Callithrix jacchus: one gene and its partners. The protein of the gene in region 4 binds, or shares a complex with, the protein of the main gene of each other region. Links are inferred from orthologs where the notes say so. Each region holds a gene or a part of one and is shown on either strand. Other genes may lie near its edges. The genes, in order: RBM15, METTL14, ZC3H13, VIRMA, RBM15B and CBLL1.

Evidence for each region.
Region 1: VIRMA (region 4) and RBM15 share a complex: the UniProt entries of both Homo sapiens proteins name them as parts of the WMM complex. The link is inferred for Callithrix jacchus from reciprocal best matches to the Homo sapiens genes VIRMA and RBM15.
Region 2: VIRMA (region 4) and METTL14 share a complex: the UniProt entries of both Homo sapiens proteins name them as parts of the WMM complex. The link is inferred for Callithrix jacchus from reciprocal best matches to the Homo sapiens genes VIRMA and METTL14.
Region 3: the proteins of VIRMA (region 4) and ZC3H13 are in contact, whole or in part, in a cryo-EM structure (PDB 7VF2), measured with the Homo sapiens proteins. The link is inferred for Callithrix jacchus from reciprocal best matches to the Homo sapiens genes VIRMA and ZC3H13. Residues at the interface, in NP_056311.2 of Homo sapiens: Leu521, Ser529, Tyr531, Gln532, Leu535, Glu536, Ile538, Leu539, Leu540, Asp541, Val544, Val547, Thr548, Ser551, Leu554, Gln555, His558, Glu561, Val562, Ser564, Glu565, Lys567, Gly570, Asp571, Ala574, Glu575, Thr577, Ser578, Glu621, Glu625; in NP_001317494.1 of Homo sapiens: Pro1492, Leu1493, Asp1494, Val1495, Ile1496, Asp1497, Val1498, Asp1499, Trp1500, Ser1501, Gly1502, His1507, Leu1518, Lys1520, Phe1521, Pro1523, Val1526, Met1527, Arg1529, Val1530, Gly1531, Ile1532, Ser1533, Lys1535, Leu1536, Ala1537, Gly1538, Leu1541, Lys1544, Val1545.
Region 5: VIRMA (region 4) and RBM15B share a complex: the UniProt entries of both Homo sapiens proteins name them as parts of the WMM complex. The link is inferred for Callithrix jacchus from reciprocal best matches to the Homo sapiens genes VIRMA and RBM15B.
Region 6: VIRMA (region 4) and CBLL1 share a complex: the UniProt entries of both Homo sapiens proteins name them as parts of the WMM complex. The link is inferred for Callithrix jacchus from reciprocal best matches to the Homo sapiens genes VIRMA and CBLL1.

Annotation. Positions count from the first base shown.
Region 1 is NC_133508.1:148,190,270-148,194,999, reverse strand, and holds the start of RBM15 (RNA-binding protein 15), read right to left. Parts: upstream 3,226-4,730; 5' UTR 2,133-3,225; coding exon 1-2,132. UniProt on the Homo sapiens protein: RNA-binding protein that acts as a key regulator of N6-methyladenosine (m6A) methylation of RNAs, thereby regulating different processes, such as hematopoietic cell homeostasis, alternative splicing of mRNAs and X chromosome inactivation mediated by Xist RNA.
Region 2 is NC_133504.1:78,847,624-78,852,531, forward strand, and holds the start of METTL14 (N(6)-adenosine-methyltransferase non-catalytic subunit METTL14), read right to left. Parts: upstream 3,136-4,908; 5' UTR 3,002-3,135; coding exon 2,936-3,001; exon of another isoform or gene 2,916-2,935; intron 2,852-2,915; exon of another isoform or gene 1,548-2,851; coding exon of another isoform or gene 1,494-1,547; intron 1-1,493. UniProt on the Homo sapiens protein: The METTL3-METTL14 heterodimer forms a N6-methyltransferase complex that methylates adenosine residues at the N(6) position of some mRNAs and regulates the circadian clock, differentiation of embryonic stem cells and cortical neurogenesis.
Region 3 is NC_133506.1:165,240,331-165,244,502, forward strand, and holds part of ZC3H13 (zinc finger CCCH domain-containing protein 13), read right to left. Parts: intron 3,425-4,172; exon of another isoform or gene 3,422-3,424; 5' UTR 3,416-3,421; coding exon 3,299-3,415; intron 3,002-3,298; coding exon 2,892-3,001; intron 240-2,891; coding exon 128-239; intron 1-127. UniProt on the Homo sapiens protein: Associated component of the WMM complex, a complex that mediates N6-methyladenosine (m6A) methylation of RNAs, a modification that plays a role in the efficiency of mRNA splicing and RNA processing.
Region 4 is NC_133517.1:32,643,101-32,647,892, reverse strand, and holds the start of VIRMA (protein virilizer homolog), read right to left. Parts: upstream 3,149-4,792; 5' UTR 3,123-3,148; coding exon 3,060-3,122; intron 1-3,059. UniProt on the Homo sapiens protein: Associated component of the WMM complex, a complex that mediates N6-methyladenosine (m6A) methylation of RNAs, a modification that plays a role in the efficiency of mRNA splicing and RNA processing.
Region 5 is NC_133516.1:33,967,343-33,972,082, reverse strand, and holds RBM15B (putative RNA-binding protein 15B), read right to left. Parts: upstream 3,343-4,740; 5' UTR 3,240-3,342; coding exon 570-3,239; 3' UTR 245-569; downstream 1-244. UniProt on the Homo sapiens protein: RNA-binding protein that acts as a key regulator of N6-methyladenosine (m6A) methylation of RNAs, thereby regulating different processes, such as alternative splicing of mRNAs and X chromosome inactivation mediated by Xist RNA.
Region 6 is NC_133512.1:78,201,470-78,206,098, reverse strand, and holds the start of CBLL1 (E3 ubiquitin-protein ligase Hakai), read right to left. Parts: upstream 3,053-4,629; 5' UTR 2,877-3,052; coding exon 2,828-2,876; intron 2,176-2,827; exon of another isoform or gene 1,814-2,175; coding exon of another isoform or gene 1,801-1,813; intron 1-1,800. UniProt on the Homo sapiens protein: E3 ubiquitin-protein ligase that mediates ubiquitination of several tyrosine-phosphorylated Src substrates, including CDH1, CTTN and DOK1. Targets CDH1 for endocytosis and degradation.

The DNA of each region.
Region 1 (4,730 bases), on a different chromosome or scaffold from region 4:
TCCAAACTACCTCGTCTGTCTCTGACTGGAGAAGGCCTTTCCAAGAGAAGAAGACGGGAAGATCGATCATTGTCGCTGTTGTAACGATCCCGACTACTGCTCAATTCTGGACTGCGATCAGGAGAAGGAGCGCAGTGACGCTTTCGTGGGCGGTCACTTTCAGGAGACCTATCCAGATGTCGTCCTCCACTCTCCTCAGGCAGCCTTCGCTTCCTAGGCTGGTCTCTGCTGCTAGGCAGATCTCGATCACCTCTGTCCCGGTCCAAGGACCAACCATCTCGCCTGCGATCCAGGCTATCCAGTGGCTCATAAGCAGGCACAGAAGTAACTGCAGTCCGAGTGCTGCGTTCCCTGACTGGGGGTGGGGGTGGCACCCAATCAGAGTCAGGATAAAGGTCCCTATCACGATCTCTGTACAGTAAGGGTGGTGTCCTATCCCGAGCACCCCTCAAAGGGTCAGGTGCCCGATGTCCAAAGGCATCTGTCACCAGCTCATAATGAGTCAAGGGCAGAGGCTGCAGATATTGCTGCTGGTAACGATGCTCAGTGTCGGCAAAGTCTACTCTAAGGCGTCGATCTGGGCCACCAAGTGGGAAGCCCCGCATATGGGTCCAAGCAGCATGTGCTGCATCCAGGCTTTCATACTGGATATATGCCCAACTATCACCTTTTCGGTAATCTATGGTGCGTATGGTGCCAAATCGATCAAACTCTCGTGCCAGGGCAGCAAGAGGAACCCAAGGTCCCAGGCCTCCCACCCAGAGGCGGGTGGTGGGTGTAGCTTTACCATAACCAATTTTGATAGGATTCCGAATTATAATTTTGCCAGACATTGCTAATTTGGCCCGGTGAGACATATCTAGGTTCTCAAATTTGAGAAAGCCATAAGTACTAGTCTGGCCGCGAGAAGGCCTCTTGATATCTACTTCCGTGATGACTCCAAAGCGATCAAACGCCCTTCTTAAATCACTCTCGGTGACAGTGATGTCTAGGTTGCCCAAGAAAAGCGTCCGGTTGGCTCGCTGATCATCCTCGGGTGAAATCTCATCCACTTCTCTGAAAGGAGCAGCACCTGCTCCAGCTCCCACCCTTGGCTCAAGACTGTATGCTGGGCGCACTCTCTCGTAGAAGGGGTAGTCTCTCTCTCTCTCCAGCTCTCGAGGCAATGGTGGCGGAGGTGGAGGGGGCAAGCGGCCAAGAGCCAACTGCTGCAGCCGGTAGTCTCTGTATCCCAAAGCTGCGCCACCAGGGGAAAGGGATCTCTGGCCTCCACCCCCTCCAGGAGGGTGCCGGTGACCACCTACAGAGGCCCCGACCACGCTGGCTGATGGAGGGTAAGTATCTTTGTCTAAAGGGGAGCGGCTGCGGCGCCGGCTCACATACACAGCTTCTATCTTCAGAGGCCGGTCATACAGCACCAGGCGGCCTCTGGCATGCTTGGCCGCCCGCGCGTCCTCCGGCCGCCGGAAGTTCACAAAGGCTACCCGCTCATCCCCGCTGCCAGAACCCGACAGATGACTGATTTTGACACTTACATCACCGAAGCGTTTGAACTCATGAAACAGGCCGTCCTCCACCGCTTCGTCACTCAGCTGGGACCCCAACTCGCTTATCTTCAGAGTCTTGTATTCCCCGCCGTCCCCACTGCCGGGAGCTGAGGAGGCGGCCCCAGAGGAACGTGACTCCCCGCCTCCACCCCGGGAGCTGCTGCGCGACTCGCCCCCGCCTGAGGAATTTTTGGTGCTCGGGGAGCTATAACTATGCAAGCGGCTACTGGAGCTGCCCCCACCGGTGTCATACTCGCGGCTGCCACCTCGGCTGCTGGACTTGTCTAGGTGCAGACTCCGCCGCGACCCGCCGCCGCTATCTGTCTTTCCGCTGCTGCTCCCGTTGCTGCCACCAGAGCCACCTAACTTCTTGCTCCGCTCCCCGCGGGAAGTCGAGTCCTCACCACCACGGGAGCGTTTGGCCTTGACTGGCGAGCGCTCTTTCCCCTTCATTGTTGCGGGTCGTCGGAGGTCGTCTCCGCTGAGGTGATTAACCCGCCACCCCGCGCTCGTTTCACACAGCGGAACCGCACGCCGCCATCTTGGACTCCGCCGCGGCCCAGAATCCCGCCCCGCAGTCCTCATTGGCCAATTGGCTCTCTCTTCTACAGTCTCATTGGAAAAATTATTTGTCTATCTTTACATCTCCCCGCGCTCCAGGAAGGCGCCCGCCCAACCACTGTTATTGGGTTTCCAAAGCCCTAGTCAGAGCATCTCATTGGTTATATTTGTTGTCTATCTTAACGGTTCCTCGCGCCAGGCTGTAGCTCCGCCCCTAGCGCTCTACGGTCATGTGACCCAAAGTCTGGAGGTCTTCATTGGACGAAAAGTCTGCCCTGTAACGGTACTTCTTACTCGGTGAAAGCAGCAACCCCACCTCCTCATCCCTTTCATTGGCTTATAAACCCGTCCTTTAAACCACTATTTAGGAGGTCGGGCCATCCGCTTCAGCGTTTTTTCCAGAGGCAGCCTCACAGCGATATCGCGAGAGAGGGTGAGCTCCCTCTTTCGACCCCCTTTTCCCAACTCCTCCGGCGGCTAAAAGAAGTTTAAATCTGATTGGATGTCCGCAAGGAAGTTGATAAGCTGAAATAACTGTCCATCACTTGCTTAAAGGGGTAGGCCCGTATAAAGGAGGAGGCTGACTGAAGGTGAAAGACTAGAACACGTGCTTACTGTGCGACGTCACTTAGATGTCGCGAGAGGGTGGCTGTGAGCCAGCCCCGCCTCCCCGCCTTTTCGGCGTCCTCCCACAAACATTTGTTCAGTTCCGTGAGGTACTTAGCTGTGCTTCGGCCGTTGGAGTTCGAAACGTTCAGGCTCCCCGCCATCCTACCTGCGCCGGCCCAGGAGCGTGGCAGGCTCTCCGGCTGTCGGGGCCCTCCAGTCCCTCAGGAAGCCGTCTTGGGACGCCTAGAGGACACCATCTTAGGTCGCTGTGGCCGCTGCGTGAAAAGCCGGGGGGAGCCCCGCCCCCGCGCGCGGGAGAGTCCCGCCCGCGGTCACCCGGGCCCGCTGAGCTAGGAGTTCAAGGTTCCTGCAGCCCCAGGTCACGCCGCTGCCCCGGGGCGGTGCTGCCACAAGGAACTTCAAGAACTTCAAGCTGCGCGGCGAAGAAGCACTCCTCGCTTGGGGGCCCTGCTTTCCGGGGCGCTCCCCGTCCCCTCCCAAGTACTCTGGGTAGCAGAGGGGAGTGACCGTCGCTCCCCGCCTCTTGGCCCGCAGGCGGAGCCGGAACTGTCGGGACAGCGTGGACGTGTCTCTGGGCGGCCTGTTTTATTTTGCGAATCTGTGTGGATTTTTTAATTCTGTTGTCCCGTAAAATACCTATGTTTGTTTTTAACATCTAATGCTTCTCCCTGGAAAGTCATCAAGCGAAATTTAGGTTCCATGCAGATAATGTAACTTGGTTTCCCCGCTGTAACTTCTGGTATCCCCCACACTCCGCTTATTGTATTAGAAGCCAGCAGCGCAGGCACCTTGCGGCCGCTCCAGATCCACCTCGTTTGGCTCCTCCAACCGTCCGCTTTACAACTCTCTTTTCCGTAGAGCATTACTGTGGCGGACAGAGCACCTGTGGGAGGTGCAGGAGATGCCGAGCTTAGTGGGGTACGGCCTCCGCCCCAGCGCTCGCCGGCTGCTGGAGGGGCGCAGCGCTGAGGTCACCGCAGCCGTTAGACTGTCTGCAGCCCTCCCAGGTATCCGCCAGGGCGGAGGTTATGAGGATTCTTACATTGATCGCGTCCTCAACCTATTTCCCAAGATCTAATCTATGGTAGAGGGTGTGAGGTGTTTTTAAACATGACATTTTTCAAGGTAACAATAATGTCCCAAAAGCCGAAACCTAAACTTGAAAACGGTGTTAAGATTAGGAACTGTGGGCCGGGCGCGGTGGCTCAAGCCTGTAATCCCAGCACTTTGGGAGGCCGAGGCGGGTGGATCACGAGGTCAAGATACCGAGACCATCCTGGTCAACGTGGTGAAACCCCGTCTCTACTAAAAATACAAAAAATTAGCTGGGCATGGTGGCGCGTGCCTGTAATCCCAGCTACTCAGGAGGCTTGAGGCAGGAGAATTGCCTGAACCCAGGAGGCGGAGGTTGCGGTGAGCCGAGATCGCGCCATTGCACACTCCAGCCTGGGTAACAAGAGCGAAACTCCGTCTCAAAAAAAAAAAAAAAAAAAAAAAGGAACTGTAACCTAAATTTAGCGGCCGAGCCATCCTTTTGGTAAGTAATCCTGAGGAATGTGAAGGGGCAGGCCTTTTATCCCTTTATTAGATCAAAGAAATTTGAAGGAAGAAGCTCAATGGTAAAGCAAGAAAGTCTACGATATTGTAATGTATAAACATATTCATTGTATTAAAATAGAAAATAAAACCACAAGCCATAAAATAATGTGTATAACATGCTATCATTTGTGGTTTTAAAAATTACATTTGTGAGTATGTACATTTTAAAAATATCATTGCTTGGAAACTTCCGTGACAAATATATGGGAAAGTGTTACTAGGATCGCCCTGAGGCTGGGTGTGACGGTCTGGAATAGGAAGGAGACTTCACTTTTCTTTGTAGAAATCTTTTGTTTTATACAAAAAGCACGCTATTACTCCTTCAGTTTAAAAAATAATTATTTTTAATTTTCCTTAAATTATTTTTATGGAAAAAGTTTAAAATAAAGAATA
Region 2 (4,908 bases), on a different chromosome or scaffold from region 4:
CAACTATCCACTAATCTTGTAGTCCACCCACACAAAATGACTCCCCTCAGATTCCCTCAATGATATATCTCTTCCAATATAGCAACTCTTCCTGAAATTTCAACTCCTCCATAAACTCTTCCTTACTCCTTTTCTCCTTAATCAGGAGACAATAGACCTACTTCCTACAGTTGGAATGCTATCTAACTTTCTTCCTGTAACTGATTCCTTTCTTTTCCTATCTCAGATGAGTACACATTATTTACTCAGAGATTTTTTTCCTTCCCTGTATGGATAGGCAGTCCCCTTCCATTATTCTCCTTTTTACCTTGTTTCCTTATCAATTTCATAGCACTTAATACAACTTTCAATTACTTATCTTTTACTTTTATTTTCTATTTATATTGTTTATTTAGTAGTCACAACTTTCAATTATTTTATTTGCATACTTCAATTATTTTATCAGTTTTTGTTCACTTCTCCCCAATAAAATGTAAAATCCCTATAGGAAGACCCTGCCTATATGTTCAGCAACTACTGTAACACTTGACTAACAGTATATGTTAATCAATATCTGCTGAACAAATGAAATTTCCTACTAGAGTCTCAATTAGGATACAATGTATCACAGGAGAAATGTATTAAATCATAATTCTGCTTACATGTTTAATTGTCTTCTCACAGGCCAACATTTTTTTTTTGTTATGGTGGCACTAAACATGTTATCTGAATAATCATAACAATTTGGTATCTTTTGAAATTAATAAATGTGAACAAATAATGATTAAGATAAGGCTAAGTAGAGTGCAACTAATTCATAAAACAAAACTACAAGCTGAAATAAAAGGCAGGTATAAATTGCTGGTGATAGCATCCAATTGCCAACATCATGGTCTGGGCCTACCTAATGCATCCAATGTCTTAATCCAGCAGACCAAAGCAAATTATACACACTGAGTTGTGCTCTACGCTATTTCATCAATCAACAAACATTTATTAAAAGCTTATTTTGTGCAGGAAGCAATGCTGGGATAGGAGATTAACCCAACAGGAGTCAAATGCAAAGACTTTGCACCCAAACAGTCGGTATTCTGTTTGACAATTAACAAACGATATATAGTAGTAGACTCAACAATAAGGACAATGAAAGCTCAAAGCGTGCACCTAAGCCAAGGTGATCGGGACAGATTTCACCACTATGTTGTAAGCTGTGGCATGGAAGCTACAAGGAATTCAGAATGGAAGGAGAACAATTTCAAACATCATAAAGGCTATATCGCACAAAGTGTGTTCTGGAGAGTAATAAACCAGTCTGCCATGTTCATCATAAACAGAAAAGCAAGTGAAAGAGAGGCTGAAGTTAATTGGTAAAGAGGATGAGGATGTGGGTCATTGATTATATTGGGCATCCTTACTAAAGTAGAATGGTTCATGTCCAACTAGAAGACCAGCAGACAGCTAGATGCACTAATAAAGATAGGGCCTAAGTTAAAAATTGCAGCTTGCAAACTTACCAGCTTTTTGGCTTTAGGCATGTAACTTAAATTCTTTGAGCTTAATTTCTTCATCTATAAAATGCTGATAGCATCTGATATGTAGGATGGAAAATAATGTATGTAAAAATCTTAAAGTCTGACACATAATTAGAAGAGACTTTAAAAATGGCAACCATCATTAAACTTTATGCACTTTTGAAGCTCTTTAAGGATAGGGACTACCTATTACTTGTAGTTCATTTGCCAAAGACTACTAGAACCCCTTGCAATTTGTTGAGTGTAAAACACCCAATAATTGTCCTATGAATGCATCCTGAGTCAAATAGAAGTCTGAATTCCATATTAAGGAGTGAAACATCTTCTGTGGTAGCAACAAAGAGCTACTGAACTTTTAAGAAGTTGGGGAAAAGAAGACTTAGGATACTTGATTTGTCCAAAATGATAATGCCAGAGGGACAAGGAACAAATGTGATTCCAAGTTCCCACTGTTTTAGCAGTATACCATAAATCTGTTCATCAGATCATAAATAGGTTTCAGAATTCCATTTACTAAAAACAAGTTTCATTACTGAAAAATAACAGCAAGATGACCAATTACAGTCCATGAGCATTTCTTCTATCACTTTTACTGATCTGAATGGTAGACTGGAAAACATAGCCTCGATTTTAAGTAGAACTGTGCACAATCTGTATTTTCTTCACGTATACCCTACTGATCGGCAAATGTTAACTTACTCATACACAAGAAGCAGTGAAGGACAATGGTTCAGAAGACAAGCTTTGGGGAGACAAACCTAGGTTCTATTTCCCAGCCGAGAAGTGAGCGACCAGGAGTAAAATTCCTTAACCTATGGAGCCTATTTTATTATTTGTTAAGTTTAGGAAACACTACCTGTTTCAAGAGATTATTGTGACTAACAGAGAGTAAGATTTCAAATATTAACTGTGGGTGTGACAAGGATACTATACATAAGATGCGGAATCTAAAATTTACACTCAGGCTACTTCCAGTGCAGTCTTTTAGAAAAACGTCAAATACTGCAAAAGTATTTCACAATGAAACCACGATCTCAAGAATTTGGTGCTGACGACGAGGAAAAGTAAAAAAGAGATGATCATTTAAATAGTGAAGAAAAATGCAGGGGATAACATGCCATTCATCCTGGCGTGAAAGCGTAGATAAGCCTTGCCAGACACTCGGTGGGCGTTCCACAGATTCGAAGCCAATCTTAGCATTCGGTTTAGCATAACAAAGACCGCGGAAGGAAATGGAAAAACATTCGGTGCACTGGAAAAGTTGAGAACAAGAAAGGGAGAACCAGGGATCAGGATCGCAGGACCAGAAAGACCTTGACAGCGGCAGGTAGAGAGGGGACAGAAAAAGGCGGGGTGTGGAACTAGGAGGCGACCGCGCACTCGCATTCGCGATCCCTCCCGCAGGGACCACCAGGGCCGCGGACCTGCTGCGCGAGGAGCTGTCGCCGTAACTTCTGCCGCTCCCGGATCTCCTGCAATCGGCTATCCATGTTCCAACTGCTGTTTTTCACTACCCCGAATATTTGTCAATCGCCAGTGAACCCTTGTCCAACTTTTCTTCCGAGTCTGTGGAACACAGTATTCACCTGGAGTTTAAGAACAGAGTAACCTCCATGCTTTCCTCAGCAGGTACTTCCGGCGCGGCAGGAATTGGCTCGCTTGGCCCGGAAGTCCCGCCTCCTCCGTACGCTCGCGATCTGACGCCACTATGAAGGGACACAAAGGGATCTGTGACTCTGCAGGGGTATTCGGGCCTCTAGGCCGCCGCGGGATGGGGTGGTCTGAGCTAGTCGGAAGGAGGATAGTTACTGACCTCTCCTTTATCTCTCCTTCCCACGGTATTAGGCTCCTTGGTGTATCACACTGTTTCCGAAGTGTTGATTCTCTTTTCAATTGATTACACAGATGACAATTCCTGACGTTTAAAACATTGCCAGACACCTTTAATTTTTTTGTTTGTTTTAACTTAGAACACAAACTTAAGCCAGATTGCCCAGGATTGAACCTTGGTCTCTCACTTCCTAGCCGAGCGGCCTTGGCTAGTTAACCACCTTCCTGAGCCTGAGTCTTCTCATCTGTGAACTGGGAGTAGTAAGTGTCTACCTCACAGAGCTGTGATTGAAAGGATAAACAGAACGTGGCACATGAGCTATTTCCGTTTAGGGAAATGAGTGTGTGATAGTAAAGTGTGTCTTGGGTTATGTCCTAGGAGTCAGAAGCTAAGTGACTCCTTGCCACCGAAGTGTCTGGCAAGGATCTACGCTTTCACGCCAGGATGAGTGCCATGTTATCCCCTACATTTCTCTTCACTATTTAAATGATCATCTCTTTTTTACTTTTCCTCGTCGTCAGCACCAAATTCTTGAGATCGTGGTTTCATTGTGAAATACTTTTGCAGTATTTGACGTTTTTCTAAAGACTGCACTGGAAGTAGCCTGAGTGTAAATTTTAGATTCCACATCACTCCTTTTTGTGCTTGTACATTTGTCTTAACTGAAAATAACCCAAGGATAAGGAAACATAGCTTCCTGAAATTACTCGGAAGTAATTTCCGGGATGGAGGATGAAGGGTGAGGGCTAGGAGGTGGTGATTCTCTCCTCAAAGGAAGGTAGCAAAGGCCAAAGTCTTATTTGAGTTATTACGATTATTATTCACCACATTTGCCGTCTTATTTCAAACTTACAGCGGCGGAAGTGGACTAAAACATAATGTTGCCTCAAGTTTAATTGGAAGTCGTGGTAAGTACTTACCAAAATTAGTTAACATGTCTGTTCTTTGAGAGTGGATTTAATTTTCAAAAATAATATTAAATCATCCAGATTAAAACCAGTTGAGTCAGGCTGGGCCAAAAGCGGCCAAGAACTAGTTTCCATCCACTAGTCCTTGCCCACTTTTATAGAAATAATTATAATGTATTTCTCAAGAACTAGGTCTGAAAGGCAAGTTTGAACAAGTAGTTCTAAATTCCTTGAGTAATGTCAGCACTATTTGGGTGCTGTAAAATATTAATGTCCATATGAGTTAAAATGTATTTCTTTAAAAATCAGTTGTATTACCTGCCAATCATTTAAGTTGAATACTGATTTAAATTTTACCAATGATAAGAATAGGCATTTATTCCTTTAAATGTCTGTTGATACTGATTTTATATGGCAAGCACTGTGATAAACCCTACGGTCTATAGAGTTCATCAAAGATTAACTACGAAATAAGTCAGTTTTTCTTTACAGAGTTTACTGTCAAATGGAGGATTTTGTTTTCCTGTTAAGGTGCTATGCAGGTTATTTGCCTGTAATCTTTGAGCCCCATACTCACCTACCCTTTGCTCCGAGATGATGGCTAGGCAGGGAGTCCACAGACTACACTTCCCTGCCTTCTTTGTTAGATGGCTTCCTG
Region 3 (4,172 bases), on a different chromosome or scaffold from region 4:
TCTAAATTATATTATCCATATAGAACATTATAATGCCATATTTAGCACACAAATAATATTTTAAATGAAACTTAAATGAACAAATCACTATTAAAGTTTAACTTTGTTTTGGGAAATTCAATCCTACCCTAACAGGCGAGGATGACTCCTCTGTATTTCGTTTCTGGGACTCAGTGTCCACGTCTTGGCGCTTGTTCTTCATTCTTTCTCTAAGATCCCCTGTAGGTCTTTCTGGTGACCTTTGAATCAAAACAACAACAACAAAAAAAAACGAAACAAAACAACAGAAATCTATGTTTATATATTAATAATATTTTCTATAGATGTATTTACAGAAATAACCTCACAAATCTCAATATACTTTTTGTGACCCTGACTCCTAAATTTCTGAAAAATAATTTCACCTTAAATATGATATGCAAAACATAAGCAACACTTACAGTTTTTCTTCCATTAACAATAAAAACGTATATGTTAAAATTCCATGAAGTGGCAGGTACTGGTGACGTGAATAAGGAATTACATGTGAACTGAGAACAAGGAATTAATAGCTTGACTTGTTTTCCTATTAATCACATGAATATATTAGTCACATGTGGAAGCCAAACATAATAATACTAACACAGTTTTAAACTATAAAGTTGCAAAATTAATCTAGAGGTAGCAGCATTATCAAATATACATGCAAGATATACGAAGACATCACAAGAAACAAGTTTCTTATATATACATGCATGTGGTTGGATGCAAAGTCAACAACTGAGAAAATACTTTATATAACTTCAGAATCAAAGCAAATATAGGAGCTTGATAATTTTTCTGAAATTTTAATTTATTTCAGAATAAAGACAGAAAAGGAGTCAAAGCAAAATTTTACAACAGTGATTTTCAAAATCTGTTGCAAATATTTTTTAATTGAAAGAAAAACGCATATATGTACTCAGCAGTGGTAAGGCTTTGTTATTTATGCTAGGAATTTGACAGCATATGGCTATGCAATTATTCTATCAGCTGGAAAAAACAGAGGAGAGACAGAAAACACCTTGCCTTTAAAGGCTATTTCTAGAACAGCTTTAAAAGAAGGCAAAAGAAGTTAAAAAATGCTCTGTTCCTCTTTGACTACAAAAAAGTACTGTCTATAAAAAAGATATGAACAAATCATATAAATATCCACATCCATTTCAAGCAGCCACTGATCAATCAAATCAATTCCTTGATTTTATGAATATAAATCATAAGGTTAGTGAATAAATAATTTGAGTTAATTCACTTTAAAGGATCTCATTAAAGTTTACATGCACATTTAAAAGATGTATATTAAATGTTTTAACAGTTAAAGCTAAACTTGAAACTGGAACGTCTTTTTAAGAACCAGTACTTAAGTGCTTTAAATTATGATTATGATGTACATGCAAATCCTGTGTGTGCTGGTTTGTTTTATATTACATAATAAAACAGTTTATTATGAACTTGTTTCTATCCTAAACAGCACCCAACAGAGTGAGTGTTCTACACACAGCAAATTCTCAGCAAATTACTTAAGTCTTGTATATAAGCATATAAGTGAGCATTTTGTAAAATACATTACTTTTCTTCTCATCTTTAACTCACATTATGAAATATATTTTTCTCCTTATAAAAAAAAATGCACGAATACAAAAGAAGTTATCAGATGGAAAAACACACACAAAATGGCAAAATTATAATAAATATCCTTTATTCTAAGTCTAGCAATGACATTATTTTTTCCCATTATAGACAAATTTCTCTGACCATTTCTCTGAAAATTATTTTTTAAAAATTGAGTCAGCTTATAAATTTCAAAGATGAATTTTAAAAATATTAAAACTGTAGCATTAATGTAAGCAAAACATTAAAATTATGGAAATAGTTTCACCATGTAAGTATCCACATGTATATATACATATACAATAATAACACTAATTATCCCACATTAACAGAAGTGACAAATGACAATCTAAATACAAATAAAACAGTATTCAGAATCACAAATAAACTAAAATATACAATGGTTATGTGAAAAGGAAGTTGGCTAATGTTGAGGGTTTGAATTTTAAATTCTACTAAATAAAATCTACCCATACACTACCCCCCTCAAAATCACCCAACTAATAAAAAGAAAAAAAAAAAAATCTCCAGTTACTAATGTTCAGTTTTTACACAGTTTCTATGCTATAGCCAAAACAGTCAGCATAACCAATTTTGGAACTAGGTAAATTATTTGTTTACCAATCAAGTTAAAACTGTTTTTGTGACTAATGTTATATATATTACATCTTTAAACACCATAAAAGAATTATCATGAGGGACCAAAAGAAAAATAAAAGGTCTTTATAAAGCAAGTTTAATTTAGCCAAGCCTTTACTAAAGGCAAAATGATGTTTGAAAGATGGAGTACATTTATCCACATATAAATATGTATTTTCATTAACATTAACACTCTGTGACAAGGTACAGAATTTGTACAAAATTCAAATTCAGAACATCTTAAAATTATACCCAATTTTAATTTTCCTATTTTAAGATTTTAAAATAGTCTAGCCTCACTAAAAAGAAATTCAGACACCATGAAATTCTGCTGTCTCAGGCATCAATTTAATACATAATTGGGGGAAAAAAGTAATACACATATTACAAAAAGATCTATTGTCATAACAAGTAAATACTGAATAAGTTAATTTTAAAGCAAACAATTTATTAATCTTGAAAATAAAAACAAAAAGATCTTGTCAAACTTTGACTACTGGAAAGACTACTACCAATAAGGAAAATCTGACCAAATGTACGGTTGTATTTCAGATTTTTATACTCAATAAATGACAAAAGCCATCTTCTAATAGTACATAAACAATTCAGAGTTTTCAGTTTACCTTCTATAATTGCTGCTATAACCTTTACCGCGAGGTGAAGGGCCATGTATGAATCTACATGTGTTTCCATAGAGGCAGCTGCCAGTCTTCAGCCAGTTACGGCACTGTGTCTAAGAGACAGATATTACCATGTAAATTTCATATTGAGTTCTGGGGAAAAAAATGCTAGTGGGACAAAATTAAAACAAATGCTATCAAAATTCCAGCTAACCTGTGAGATATTACTCCCCAAATAATAAAAACTTCAGGAAAAAAATATGGAAAACCCATAAACCTTACCGCCTTTGAAAAAATTACTGAACCAACTTTCCTACAATAAACCAACCGGTTCACCTTTATGATACAAATGAGCATTTCAGTAACAGAATTCTAAGAGAACCCCTGTGACTATCCTAGTGACAACTCACCTCTGGTGTACTGCCAGTGCTGGGTCCAAGCCTCTCAAACACACTGGGTCTTCGGGATGTGCTATCAGATATGGTCTTGGTATTTTCCACTGTGACCTTCCTTCTAATTTTTGACATTTTGTACTACTTTAACCAAAAAAGAAAGAGGCAAAACTGTAAAATTCTTCAGTTTTAAATAACTGAGCCCACAACTTACAAGTAGATAAAACTATAGGTAACAGTGTAAAATTACACGGCATTTTCCTTGGGAGATAAAAAAGGCATAGGAGAGGTCACAGGTAAACAGAGATAAGGTATCTTCTAACACATGTCTCACTGGTGAATTTATAACAGCTGTGAAATCTGTTGGCTAGAATTGTACCTCTTCTGCAGAGTGAACAAATATGATTCTACTCACACAGTGAAGTTTTCATGGTACAATCAACCTCAGAAGACATAGCACAAAATCTTTACTTTATAAAAGTTACTTACAAAAATTGCTTCAAAATTTAGTAACTCTAACCTCTAAGAAAAAGTTGTTAACCATCAACTGGTTAAATGAAGAAGAGTTACGCTAAAGAAAATTGGAAAACAAAACTGGGTGAAAATTTTGATAGCAGAAATCATACTTCATAAGTTTAAGTGACAATAGTAGTTATGTTCCAAAAATCAGGTTGGAGAAAAATGAATGATATTTTAATATTTTCTTTGCCTTACAGAGATCAAAGCAATTTGATCAAGCTTATTTATTTTCCAGTAACACAAAAAGAAAACCCAATGTCGCTAAAGACAACTTTCAAAACAGGACAGATTGTAGAACTAGAAAAAGTCAAGGTGTTTCTATAATCCATACTACACTGACATAAAATTCAAAGGTGTTAAAAGTAATTAACAG
Region 4 (4,792 bases):
ATGTGTGACAGTGGATCTTAATCTAGCTATGCTATTTTAGTAAAGATACCTAATCTCTCAGTTTCCGTATCTATAAAATGTATTTGACTACCTTTGAAAACTCAGTCGGGCACTGCAGTGGCTCATGCCTGTAATCTTAGCACTTTGGGAGGCTGAGGTGGGAGGATCACTTGAGCTCAGAAATTCCAGAATAGCCTGGACAACATGGCAAAACTCCGTCTCTACAAAAAAATACAAAAATGAGCCAGGCATGGTGGCACACAATTGTAGTCCCAGCTACTCAGGAGGCTGAGATGGAAAGATCAATTGAGCCCTGGTGAGAGAAACTGCAGTGAGCCTGTGACTACACACACCACTACACTCCAGCTTGGGTGACAAAACATGATCTAGTCTAAAAAAAAAAAAAAACAGATGGAAGGACCAGAGATGATTTACTTAAGTTGTCAAAGCACTGTGTCTGGTACAAATTAAGTATTCAATAAACGTGGAGAAGCAATGATTACTGTCCATTTGTTAACTCAGGTTTTCATAACATCTCACTTTTTCTCCCTGATTTTGTCACCTCACCCCTATTTTCTCTGAACCATTTTAAGTATTATTGATGAAGTAAACTACCTAATGTATCTTACTAATTGCATAATTTGCCTGCTCAAAAACTACCCATTTCATACAAAATAAAGTTCATAATTCTTCATTGAGCATTCAAGGAGCTCCATGATGTGCCTTTGAACTAATTGCCTTGGGTGCCACTTCATACTGCTACTTTAAGCATATCCTAACAGATAACTACTCCAGTAGAATGCCCTCCTTTCCTAACTACAACCGGGAAATATTACCCCTTTCACCAAAGCCCAAGTTCATAAGCCAAACACCTTTATGAAATCTTTCCTGATACACTCAGATGAAAAGTTATTTATCTCTGCCTCTTCTGAAATCATGTATCCTTTATTTATACCCACAAAGACAGCAAATTCTAATATGTCAGATACTGATGGGCATTTTGTAAACAAAGATGATGAACCCCAAGGAATTCACACTGCTTCTTTATGTGATCATCACATTCTAACTCAAATCACAATTTTGTGGATCTAATATCCAATACTGAGCTATAACTTCTTGAAAACAAACATTTCAACATTTCATATCACCCACAAACCCCTACTGCCTCCTTCAAGACTTGATCTAAATGTGATCTCTACTAAGCCTTCCCCATCACCCCAAAAGAAGGCATTTACCATCTGCCTTATCCTCTCAAGGTACTTGATGTTTACCTAGGAATGAATAAAAGAATAGATTAAATATGTGATAAACCAATGAATGCCAATTTTCCCAAACTAGAAAAGTACTAAACTAATTCATCATATGCTTCTTTCTCTTTTTTTCTTTTTCTCTTTCTTTCGAGACAGGGTCTCATTCTGTTGCTCAGGCTGGAGCGCGGTGGTATAATCTTAGCTCACTGCAGCCTTGACCTCCCAGGTTCAAGCAGTCCTCCCACTTCAGCCTCCCGAGTCGCTGGGACAATAGAAGCAAGCCACCACAGCTAGTTAATTTTCTTTCGTAGAGATGCGGTTCCACTATGTTGCCCAGGCTGGTCTCAAACCCCTGGACTCAAGCAGTCCTGCTTCAGCCTCCCAAAGTGCTGAATTACAGGCATGACCCACTGTGCCAGGCTCTTTCGGTTTTACCTGTTCTCTGTTTCTATACCCATGATATTGGGTTCTCTGTTTCTATACCCATCAGTATTGTTCTGATACTGCCTGCACTGTGGGTTTTCTAAATCTTGGCTGGAATGTCAGAGAGGTATAGTCATTAAATAAATAGTGCTAAGTGACCCACATGAAATGTGAGACCGTGAATTAATCATCAGTAAGAAATGCTAACTCCAAGTTCTCCAACCTTTGACTTTTACAGACCTATAAACCGTTAGTTCAGTTAGATCACAGATGTCAAGTTTTTATTTTGCCAAGTAAAGCATTACGATACAACCACTACCCACTATCAACACTATCTCACAAAAGAATGAACATTTTAAACATTTTCCATTTAAATATTTACTGGGTACCTATATTGCTAACACTGTACGAGGCACTGGAGATACAGCTGAGAAAAAGAGAAATTATACCCATCCTCAAAAAGCTTGATACAAGAACACACTTGATAAAAATAGAAGGAAAAAAAATCTCCAAAGAAAGTTCTCTAATCTGATTAAACTTACATTAAGACAGAGAAATGTGAAGTTTTTTTTTTTTTTTTTTCAATTTCTCCGTGGACTTCATTCAAGTTCACTTTTGATCTGCTCTCATCAATCTTAAGTTAACCAGCTATGTTTAATTTACATATTGCAGGGCCAATTGTACATTCAAAGGTGCTCGAGCAATTTTGTACAGAAACATTACTCCACAACATTCCATCCCCGACCTCAAAAAACATTATCTGATGATGAGTTTGACTATAATTCTCTCAACTCTCCCCTCTTCGCAGTACTCTCCGTGAATGCGTCTCATTCCTAATGTGTGAAATCTCTCCACGAGACAAGTATTATAGTTTCAGGTCAAAGTGGAGAGCACCGTAATCCTAAACCGAATGAGTGTCGCAACTGGGGAACATAACTCCTGACAGAAAAGGAGCCAAAGAGAAAGGATTTAGAAACATCGTGATTAGGAAACCACGCAGCAACGCAAGCTGCTCGGAGTCCGGCACTGTCGAACATTTCTGTCAAATCCAAGACCCCCCGCCACAAACGCCACGAGAGGTAAACCTTAGAACCCCGATCCTTCTCAAGGCCCAAACCTGACAGAAAAAATAAAAAATAAAGCCATGCAAGCAGAGAAGCCAATTCGACCAAAGACACCGAGGGCCCAAGTTAAAGCAAGGAAATGAAGGGGCTGCTGCAGCTCTCCGTCAGAAGCAATGCTCACACCGCTCGCTGGAGGGTGTCTGTGTGTGAGAGAGAAATTAAAGAAGAAATCTGCAGAAGGAAAAGTCGAGGACGCCTAACGGTTTTTTTGTAAAGGTCCAAAATAGAGAAGCAGGGTCGGAATCAAGTCGCCAAGCCTTACCTCAGCGCTCGGGTGTTTAAAAGTATCTAAAAATAGCAGCTCCATCGCCGAGTCCACCGCCATGTTTGCCGCGGGCGGGGAACAGGGAGAGAACTTCCGGGGCAGCGCTCCAGTCTCAGCTATAGCGGCCCTGAAGAGGGAAAAACCGCGGCACTTCCGGCGACCACAGAACCAGCGCCGCAATCGTCACCCTATCCCAACGCATCTTGTTGCCCGAAGTTGCCGGCCCCGCCTTTTCCAGCGCGGCGGTGGGCGCCCCCAGAAAGCAGAATGGGGCGGAGAGAAGTGACAGGAGACTACAGGGTCTCCAGTGGTTCAAACCCTGTCGTTCCGCCGCGTTACGGAGCCACAGCGGCCCCTGGTGGCGAAGTGCGGTGCCGGGGTTTTGGAGAGGGCGGAGGAGGAGGAGGGAAAGCTGCCAACTTTGGATACCAACCCCGCACACTCACCGAAGAGGGTGTCCCACTTTTTCCAGCGCTGGGAGCAAAAAGGTACAGTGAGCGAGGTTGAAAAATAAGACATTGATTTAAATGGAAGAAAAGAAACTTGTTTCAGCAAAGGAAGAAATTCTTTGTTTTCTTATCTGTAAAATGTGAAAAATCGTATCTAACCCACAGGCTGATTGTGAGGAGTAATTGAAATAAAATTCGAGGAACTGTATAATGTGAAGTACCAGGAACAATAAAAAAGGAGGCGGAATGAAAAGTAAGCCTGTCGGGTGTTGATGAGCTTTGGAACAACAAGATAAACACAGCGGGTTTGGTAGTCTAAATGGCACAAACCCTTAGCAGAGCAACTAGGAAATAGCCTGTAAAATTGCACGTGCCTACCCCTCTTCTAGGAAAATTCTTGCGCACGTATCTACAATTACAAAAATATTCATGGCAAACTTTATAAATTGCAAAAGAGGAGGAAACATAGGTGCCATTGACAGAAGTCATAAGTAAACAGTGGCGTATTTATATAATAGAATATAGCAAGTAGGAAGAATAAACTAGTGCTGTATGTACCAGCATGAAAAATCAAAAAAGCAAGGTTGCCGGGCGCGTTGGCTCACGCCTATCTATAATCCCAGCACTTAGGAGGATGAGGCATGAGGATCGCTGAAGCCCAGGAGTTGGAGAACTGCCTGGGCAGTATAGCAAGACCCTGTTCTTCACAAAAATGAAATAAAAAAAAAGAGAGGCAAAAATCAAAACAAAAAAAGTTTAACTCCCCTCATTGCAACAACCCTCCACCTTTAAAAAAAAAAATGGGTTAAGCAAACAGGTTTAGAAATATGTAGTGAAGCCTGCTGTAGTGGCATGTTCCTGCGGTCCCAGCTTCTCTGGAAGCTGAGACAGGGGATCTCCTAAGCCCAGGAGTTGAAGGCCAGTGGGGACACCCATCTCTTAGAAAAGAAAAAAAATTTTTAAATAGTGTAAAATAACATTTATATGGTTAAAAAGTGCAAAAGAATATAAATATTTAGGAGTGTACATAATGTCATGAAATTATAAAGACATGCATTGGAATGATAACTAAAATTTCAAGATAGTGGTGAACTGGAGGGAGATGTAATGAAGAAGAACAGAAAGGCTTCAAAATGGTAATGTTTTATTATTTAGGTTAGTGTTCGTTTCACAAGCATGCCTTACATTATTGTTTGTACCTTCTGGTATGTCTGAAATATTTAACAAAAAATGAATTTTTAAAGTAAATCTCCTTCCTCAGCTATCCAGTTTCCTCTATTA
Region 5 (4,740 bases), on a different chromosome or scaffold from region 4:
CCCTCCCTTTGCAAGGGCTCTACTCAGGCTTTTGTGGCAGGGTCCAGAGCCCAAACTGAAGCTTGCCTGCTGTCGGCCAAGATAAAAATGAACGCGAGTAGAGTCCAGACTCAAGCCTGCAGAAGTGAGGGGCCAAGAGCGACCCCTGCAGCAGTGGTGCTGGAAAGACGACATAGGGCATTTGTGTACATGCACTAGGGAAGTCTTTGATTCGTAGCTTGATTAAACCAGGACTCTGAACAGGTTTAAAAATCCATCCTCTGACAAAGGCTTTACTGACAACTTTCCATACAGTTGGTCAAAAAATAAAAAAATACAGAACCACAGCAGACAGTATCTTGTACACTAGAAATCAACAACCGGAGTCCCTTCTCATTGTTTAAAAAAAAAAAAATCCCCCAAACCTAAGAACTTAGTTTTGGTGGCGGAAAGGACTTTGATCCCCACCCAAATGAACCAAAATAACCCAGGAGAGAATTCAAACCAAACTGGTAGGGTAGAGAGGGGTTCAGATTTTAAAATAACTGCTTTTGTGACACAAACATGACGCTGGAAAAAACAGGCTTGGGCTAGGCAGTGTCTCTGACAATGACTATCACCATGTGTTCTTCTTCTAGCTTGCCCAATGTTCTTAGTGCTGACTGGAGGTACTGCTGGGAAAACTCGCAGGGCGGAAAGGCATAGAGCATGCCTGTGCCATCTCTGCCCTTGGACCCCCCCACTGGCAGGCTGATCACCCCTGCAGCCTGCTTCTGTTTCAAGTAGGAGACCAGGTTCCTGAGAAGTCGCCTCTGCAGACCTGGCTCCACTGTGGGCATCCCCTCAGTGCCAAGCCCACTGGGGGTTGCCTGGGTGGCTAAAAGGACTGCATAGCCGTTGGGGCTCCCCTGCTTGATGCGTCGTGTGACCTCGTCGAGCTTGGGCTGGTCCAGTCGAAGGCGCTGGGCGATCTTCAGCTGGGTCAGCTTGCTCCCAGAAGTGTGGTCTTTGAGGAGACTGCTGATCACTCCCTGATCCCCCTCTAGGATGTGCATAGATGTGGGGAAGCAGCTGTTTTTCAACACCAAAAGCCCATTCCAACCCAGCTGTAATGTCTGAGCGTAATCTGAAAGATTCTTCAGCTTTTTGGTCTCATGTTTTGGCTCTTCAAGAGGCTTGGGCTCAGCCTCCGTGGTCCGGTGATTGCGCTCGCTGTCTCTTGCCTTCTTCCCATGGGAAGAGTCTGCAGCCTCGTGGTGGTGGTGATGGTGGCCCCGTTCCTCGGCCCCATGTCTGCTGTTGCTGAGGGAGTTGCTGCTGGACTCCTTGGTCCCTTCACTGGAGTGGTTCTCCTTGCGGCTGCGCTCAGGGGTGCGGTCCGAGCCCCGCTCTGACTGCTGCCCACTGCCCTTGGTCCTGCTCCGTTCCTCATACGGGGAGTGAGTTGTCCTCCCACGGTCACTGGAAAGGCTCCTCCGTTTCCGCCTCTCTTCCCAGGGCTTGGGTAAACCACGGTCCCCATCTCCCCCCCAACGCTCACCACTCCGGCTGCGCACTGAGCGACTGTAGCCCTCAAGGCTATTTCGGCGGTCGGAGCTTTTACTGGGGCTGGTCCAGTCCCCTTCCAAAAAGGTCCGGTCTCGGTCTGAGTACAAGAGGTGTGGGGGCGTCCTGTCCCGCACCAGGTCGGCGTCCAAGTTGCGGTGCCGGGTATATCCATCTGTTAGCAGCTCATAATGCACAGGGAGCGGTGAGGGCTGGTACTGCTGGGGGTACCGTGTCTCCTCTGCTTTGGCAAAATCCACGCGGAGCCTGCGGTCTGGTCCACCCAAGGGAAAGCCCCTCATTTTAGCACAGGCGGCCTGGGCTGCGTCCAAGCTCTCGTACTGGATATAGGCAAAGCTATCTCCTTTGACATGATCAATGGTCCGAATGCTCCCAAAGCGGTCAAACTCCCGGGCCAGAGCCGCCAGTGAGGTGTTAGGTCCCAGGCCGCCCACCCAGAGACGAGTGGTAGGGTTGGCCTTGCCATAACCTATCTTAATGGGGTTGCGACCAATCACTCGGCCTGACATGGCCACCTTAGCCCTATGGGCCATGTCCAGGTTCTGGAACTTGAGAAAGGCATAGGCACCACCCTGGCCACGGGCAGGCCTCTTGATAACCACCTCCTCGATGATGCCGTATTTCTCAAAGGCGCGTCGCAGCTCCACCTCAGATACGCTGTGGTCCAGGTTCCCGATGAAGAGGTTTCTCGTGGCCCGCTGGTCGTCCTCGGGCATCAGGTCCTCCTCGCACACAGCCGGGTAGCCATAGGGGCGCCCACGATCGTCATACAGCCCGTAGTAGTCCAGGGCCCGCTCGCGGGACAGTCCCACGGCGGCGGCGGCAGCATCCAGGGCGAAGGCTGCGGCGGCGTGGCGGGCGCGGGGCTCTCGCAGGGGCGGGGCAGCGACGGGGGACAGCGAGCGCTGCTTGTACTGGTAGCCTCCGTGCAGCGGCAGGTAGCCGAGCGGGTCGGCGGGAGCGGGCGGTCCTGGGGGAGGCGTGGAAGCGGCGGCGCTGCTGCTGCTGCTTCGCCGGCTGCTCCCGCCGCCGCCGCGCAGGTACACGGGCTCTACCTTAAGCGGGCGATCGTAGAGCAGCAGCTGGCGGGCCAGGGCGTGCTGGCGGGCCTCGCGCGCGTCCTGTGGATGCCGAAAGTTCACGTAGGCCACACGGCCCAGCTCAGGCGTGTGCGACAGGCGGAGGCTGATCTCGCCAAAGCGCTTGAACTGGTGGAAGAGCCGGTCCTCGAGGTGCTCGGCGGGCAGCGCTGGGCTCAGGCTGCTGATGAGGAGCGTCTTGTACTCAGGCGCAGCCGCGGAAGAGCCGGGACCCGTGGGCTCGGCCCCAGGCGGCGGCGGCGGCGGCGGCAGCGGAGACGTGCGGGGCGACAAGCCGGAGGCGCCCGGATCCCCCGAGGCCTTGCCGCCGCGTCCCCCGCCGCCAGCGCCGGAGCTCGAGGAGCGGCCACTGCTCGCACGGTGATTAGCGTCCCCGGCGCCGCGGCTGTCGCGATGCCCGCCCCCGCCGCTTCCGCTGCCGCGGGGTTTGTCGCGGGCCCGCGCTGGAACCGGGTGCTTGGCGCCGCCAGAGGCCTTGTGCGCCGCCCGCCGCCCGCCCGCCTCCGCCTCCCGTTCGCGTTCCCGCGGACGCTTGGCCGACGATGACGAGCCGCGCCCGCTCGGGCTAGAGTCTCGCTCGCTCTGCCGCTTCATGGCGCTGGCGCGGCGGGCGGGCGGCCCGTAGGTTTCTCACAGCGGCGGCGGCGGCGGCGGCGGCGGCCGAGGAGGCAGCGCCCCCGGCGCCGCCATCTTGGACAAAAGGACTCGGCGCGGCGGCGGCGGCGGGGCGGGGCGGGAGCGGCGCCGAGGGGCCTGGCATTGCGTTATCAAGCTGCGCCGACCGTGCCACGTGACTCTGTGGCGGGCGGAGCGAGACACGCGTCGGGCTGCGTCATCGTGCTGCATCGCCCAGTGCCACGTGACCCCCGTGAGCGCCGGGTGAGTGGGCCTGGGCCTCGCGCTCTAGCGCCACCGCGCGGCCCACATGGGCGATGCTTGAGGCTACGCGAAGTGAAGGGAACCCTGAGAGGTACGCAGGACGACCTAACGCTTTGTGCTCCCAGGCGTGCTTTGCCGCTCTGGGTTCAGCTATCTCCTCCCGCAGGAGCTGGAGCCCGCGCTGACTGGAACAGGAAGGAGTGGCGGCTTCCGTGGGCTGTCGGGGTCTGGGGCATTGACCCAGTCAGTGGTGTGTATGTAGTACCCCTCAGCCCCAGGACTAGGCTTTAGCAAACTCCCGTATCACCCTCCTTGGCATCTTCTGCCTGGGATCTGGGGTAACTGCCCCAAGGACAAATGCATGCCCATCTCTAGGCCCTGTCTAGGACCCAAGGCCCACATTCTGGGCATCTTCCACATGTAAGTTCACCTGCTGCAGTCCCCAAAAAGGCCATGAGGACCATGGCTGTGCATGTAGGTAATAACCAAAAGCAGTGACAAGCCTGCAGTTGAAGTTGATGGAGTTGGAATAGACTCTTTAACGCCACTCTTTGGTCCCACCCTCTTCTTTGGCATCTGGGCAGAGAGCAGGCTGGAAAAGTAGAACCACAAGAGCCAAGGATGAAGAGGTCAAATGCATAGATAGTAATGACAGTTAACACAGCTTGCCACACTGACCCCTCACTGGCCAGTACCCTCCTGTTCACCTTCAGGAGGACCTCTTCTCTCCATGTGAGGTGAAGGAAAGGGTGCCCGAGCCCACTGAGGGAGCTTTCATTCATGACAGTTGCTAGAGCCATGGTAGAACCTGATCCAATTTCTGGCACAGAATCCTCGCGATGGGGAAGAGCACACTAAGTCTTCCCCTCTTCCCACAGTGAGAAAGCAGCTCAGGCAGGTGCAGGGGGAAAGGTCTTGGAAGAAAGCAACAAGCTCCATGGCAGCCTGTAAGGCCTCCTACAGGCAAGCTGAGCTTAGGAGACACAGTGAAGCGCTCTGAAGCAAGAGCAGTTCCTTGGAAAGCATTGGGTCTTAGTCCTTCCTTTCAGGTGGTGTCTACAGGCATCTTCACTGAGCCAAGGCTCACACCAACACCTGGGGTTCCTAAGCACCAATGCCACAGAGAGCGGCTTCAGAAGCAGACTCCAGAAAAGACCTGGACCTCAACAATTAATTTAGGGTAAACAAAGGCAAAAAGCAGCTTCCCACCCCCTCT
Region 6 (4,629 bases), on a different chromosome or scaffold from region 4:
TTTAAAACACCAGCTATAAATAAAGGTACTAACTTCCAAATACGTATTTTCAGTGCAGTTCTTAACCCTTCATCTCCACTTGACATCTCCTCTCCTGTGTTTCAACAGCTGTCTCACACTAAATAGTCCAAGACTAAACACTTATTCCCAAATTTTCCTGTCTCACTTCTACAAAAAAAGGACTGTTTTCTCCCCCGAGTTATCCTCAACTCAATAATGGGGACACTACCTAGCTGCTCAAACCAAAAACGTAGGCATTTCTCCTTTCTCTCACATTCCTCCAAACACTACCCAAGTATTTACTGAAGCTGCCCGTTCTCCTTCATTTCCACCAAACCAACCTTCCCTTCCGGTCTACTGCAATCACCTATCTTCCAACATTCTTACCTCCCTCTCTTACACCATTCTCCACAGAACAGCCTACTACATTGTTTAAAGAGACTGTGTTCTTCCTCTACTTCTGTTCAATGCCTTCATATTCACTTAAAATAAAATTCAACCGTTTACCATGGTTTTCAATGACCTGAATGTGACGGCTGCCCTCCTTTCCAATCTCACTTCAGGACTCAACTCTCTGGCTATTACTAGGCTGCAGCTAACTTCGCTACATCTTCCTACTCAGCACCTATGCACTTGCTGGAAATGCTCTTCCTCCTGCTTTTTTCCCAGGACTGGATTTTCTCATCCATCGGATCTTAGCTTATATGTTACCCTGCCACAAAGACCTTTCCTAACAACCCTCTGAAATTTCTTCCTATGAATCTCTCCAAAACACCCGTTTATTTTCTTCAAAACACTTATGATCTGCAAACAAACAATAAAAAAGAACTTATTGTCTGTGTTCTTCCATAAAATAGAAGGTCTATCAGGGACTTGGTCCGTCTTGTTTACCATTCCATCCTCCATCTCCCGACCTATACATATCTGTATGTATCTGGCATAAACAAACATACACACCTAATTATATAATAGATATATGATGAGTGAGGACAACTCAATACTTACGAAAAATACTTTTTCTCTATTTGTGATATGGTCGCTATAACTCTATGGGGCACTTGTTAATTCCAATAGCATACATTCACCATCCAAGAACCAGAAAGAAGCAAAAGCCAGAAAACACATAACAAAGGGTGGAGCTACTCTTACTTGGAGAAAAGGATGAAAATGTCTTTATTTTAAGCTCCTCTTTGTAAATACCCTCAAATGATGAGTAAGGACCACAGCCGAAGCGCGGGGCATGCTTTTGGTTTAGGCAGAAAAGCTCCACCAAGTTTGATTCCAAAAACTATATCCCACTCCTTTCTTTCACCTCTCTAGTCCATGAAGGACAGGAGAGACGACAGGAGGTTACAACTGCAGCACCCGCCCAAAGCTGACTGAGACAGCAGGAAGTCTCCAACCCACTCTAGCCCGTCCACTCCCAGCGGATTCCGCGACTCCGAGACCGCAGTCTACCCGCGAGTCCCCATAATGCAGGGCAGAGCAGCTGGGCTGAATAAAACAGAGCCGGCGCTCTCCCTTCCCAAAGGCCTACGCCGCCCACCGGTCCGGGCTCGGAGCTCAGCAGAAACAGAGGAGCGGCTGTTGCCGGCACCAAGGAGGTAGGTACCGCACCAGAGGGTAGGCCAGGAAGCAGCAGGCCCCTCCCGGGCACGGGAAGGCAACTGTGAGATTTCTTCTCACTGCCACACTCAAGTGTTGTGGGGCGAGCGTAATCCCTTTTGCCTGTTGGGCGACCAGTCCCAGGCCGGCCAAGGGGGCATGGAACCGGGACCCCCACTGCCTCCGCCTCCTTACCAGTGTGATCCATGATTCGGCTCGCACAGCACAGTGGGAACGGAAGTCAACCGCGCCGGAGTCGCAGCCCGCGCCTGCGCACTGCCTTCCGGAGGCCGGGAGGCGGAAGTCCGAGCGGATTGTCCCAGCTTTGGTCTACAAAGACTTCCTTCTCTCGCCTCCACTACCCAACTCCTGTGAGGGACTCAGGCATAGTTGGTGCGGAGGCAGAAAAAGCGAGCGCGCGAAGTTCGGTGGCGAGGTCGCTAAGGCTTCTCCTCATGTGCTTCAAGGAAAAGTAGCCTTTAACTGTGAAAAGGGCACCAGCGAGGACCAGGGCGAGGGAGAGCAGTGGTAGAAATGAGCCCGCGGCAGCTAAGGCGGCTGCCCGCCCCCGCGGAGAGCTGCCTTTTGGGACTTGTAGTGCGCGGGGGCCGCGAAGCCGGCTGCCGGCTGCGCAGGCTCGGCCGTTGTGCTGGCCCCACCCCGGCGGGCGGAGTAACGGTTTGGAATCCCCCGTGGTCCGGGAGCGCTTGTTGCCTCCACTGAGTGTAGGAAAAGTGTAAACACAGGCGCTCCGGAAGGCGTCCTCCAGTGGGAGATTGCTCAGGGGATGGCTGAGCTGTGAAGCTCGCAGCTAGAAGGAAAGTCGCAACATTTATTGTCTTAAGTTTTGCTTTGTTGTGACGAGCTACCTAGACTCACGCAGAGCCGTCTTGGTATATGCCCCTGTTCCCAACTTGTCTCTTTACAGTTGAAATACATTCATAATGCTTGACTGCCACTCACTTTCTAGGGAGAGCGCTTGTGACGCTACTAACCCCTCGAACACCCGAGGAGTGGGCGCCTGTGCCGGATGGAGGATGGAGAACCTGGGCGGCGCAGCTGCCTCCTCTTAAGGGGACACCTAGCAGGAATGTGCAGAGTGGAGCTAAGGGGAGCGGATGGAAGCCGAGGGAAGGGAAGAGAGCGCCAAGGCTTGGCCAGAAGGAGAGGTTAAAAAGGAAAGGCCTAAAATGAGGAAGAGAGATACCACAATAGGCAGTACCTAGTTCCAGTTCTTGGTCCCAGGGGTTTGTGGTTGCTGCTGCTTTCATCTTCCTCAGCCAAAACAAGGAAAGTGCCAAGGGGCGATTCCTAGGACCTTCAGTGCAGTCTCCACCTCGCGGACTTGGCTTTTTTGTATTTAGTCCTTTCTCCAGCCTTTCACGCTTGATGCTCGTGGATGAATAGAAAGGAGCACAATTAATGGAAAACACAAGCTTGGGGAGTCAAGGGATTTGGGTTCTATTCTTGTCGTCCCTTGGTGACGACATCATCACCTTGGGTTATTCACGCTTTCAGTGCCAGAGTTCCTAGATTAATAAAATATTATATTGACCTCTTAGAGAAATGTTTTCATGGTACTGAATTGCAAATAAAGTATGAGTACCAATGTGTTATATCTTTGTATTTGCACGGTATTAGCTGTGAGTCATACTGTTATGATCAGTGCGATATAAGTGCACCATGCATTTAGTGGTTATTTTCCTGAGATCTTGTAAAAGACTTTTCCACTGCATATAGGCAGCTTTATAAACAAGTTTTTAGGTACATTCACAACGAAGGACCTTTGTGAATCAAAATTATCCCTGCTTTTGTTAAAATGTAAAGTTCTATATTGCTAAGTGGTTTTCAAGATGCTTTCAGTTTCTGAAATTATTTTTTTGGGCATTGGAGTTTGCCTAACCTTTTCCCTATACCTCCCTAATTTCTAAATACAGAGTTGATATAGTCAGGCATTTTTCACCAATTTGGAGTATTTTAAAAAGTTTTCCTCTAGAAAGTACCTTTTTTGCATATATTAAGAAAATTTTTTTTAGAGATGAGGCGGCAGAAACGAGTACAATAGCACAATCATAGTTCACTGCATCCTTGAACTCCTGGACTCAAGGGATCCTTATGCCTCAGCCTCCGGTAGCTGGGACTACAGATGCTCATCACCACCACTGGCTTTGATTTTTTTTTTTGTTCTGTCATACTTTTTCAGCTAAACTTCTGATTCATGCAAATCCATGTTCACAATAATACTGTGTTTGCCGATGCTAATATTTAAATAATTTGAATTAAAAAGCTTTCAAAATGTATTTTATATAATTTTTAAGTCAAGTTTTGTGGGTATTTTATGATGCGTCGTTATGAAAATTTACTGAAAGAAGATTTACTTATTTTAGATCTGATAAAATGTTAAACATTTGTTGGATTTGATTTGACATCTCTTACTTTCATGCATGGCTTTAGCATCTGTGGTCTGTATTCATTTCCCCCTTAATTGTGGTTGCCTTTAATTACCAATGCAGTAGCAGTGTGATAAATTAATCTCTTTACTTACATTTTATTAGTAGTTTCAGCGACCGGTGTGCTGTAACTATTCACAACTTCTTTATGAAGAGTCATCATTAATATTTATTTATATAGCTCGGTACTGACCTAAGGTTTACAAAAGTGAAAACTTACTGTAACGAATAGTCTGAAGCACTGAGGTGCACCTTTTTAGCTACTACCTATGAATTATAAGGTAGTGGGCTCCAAGATGTTTTGATAGACTTCCATTTACATAGTTACTGTATATGTTATGAGAAAGCTAAGAGGGCTATCAGAGAACTTGTTTTCCCCAATACCCTATTACAGACTCCTCAGTACCAAGTAAGGACAAACACACCTGGTCTATTTGGTTTGTAAATTGTTGCTGTTAAATAAATGTTTCTCACTGTTAGACATACATTTTATATCATAGCTCAACACATAAACTCACAACACCTAAGCATATATTTAAGTGTCATGAAACTATACTTACCCTTTTTATATGCA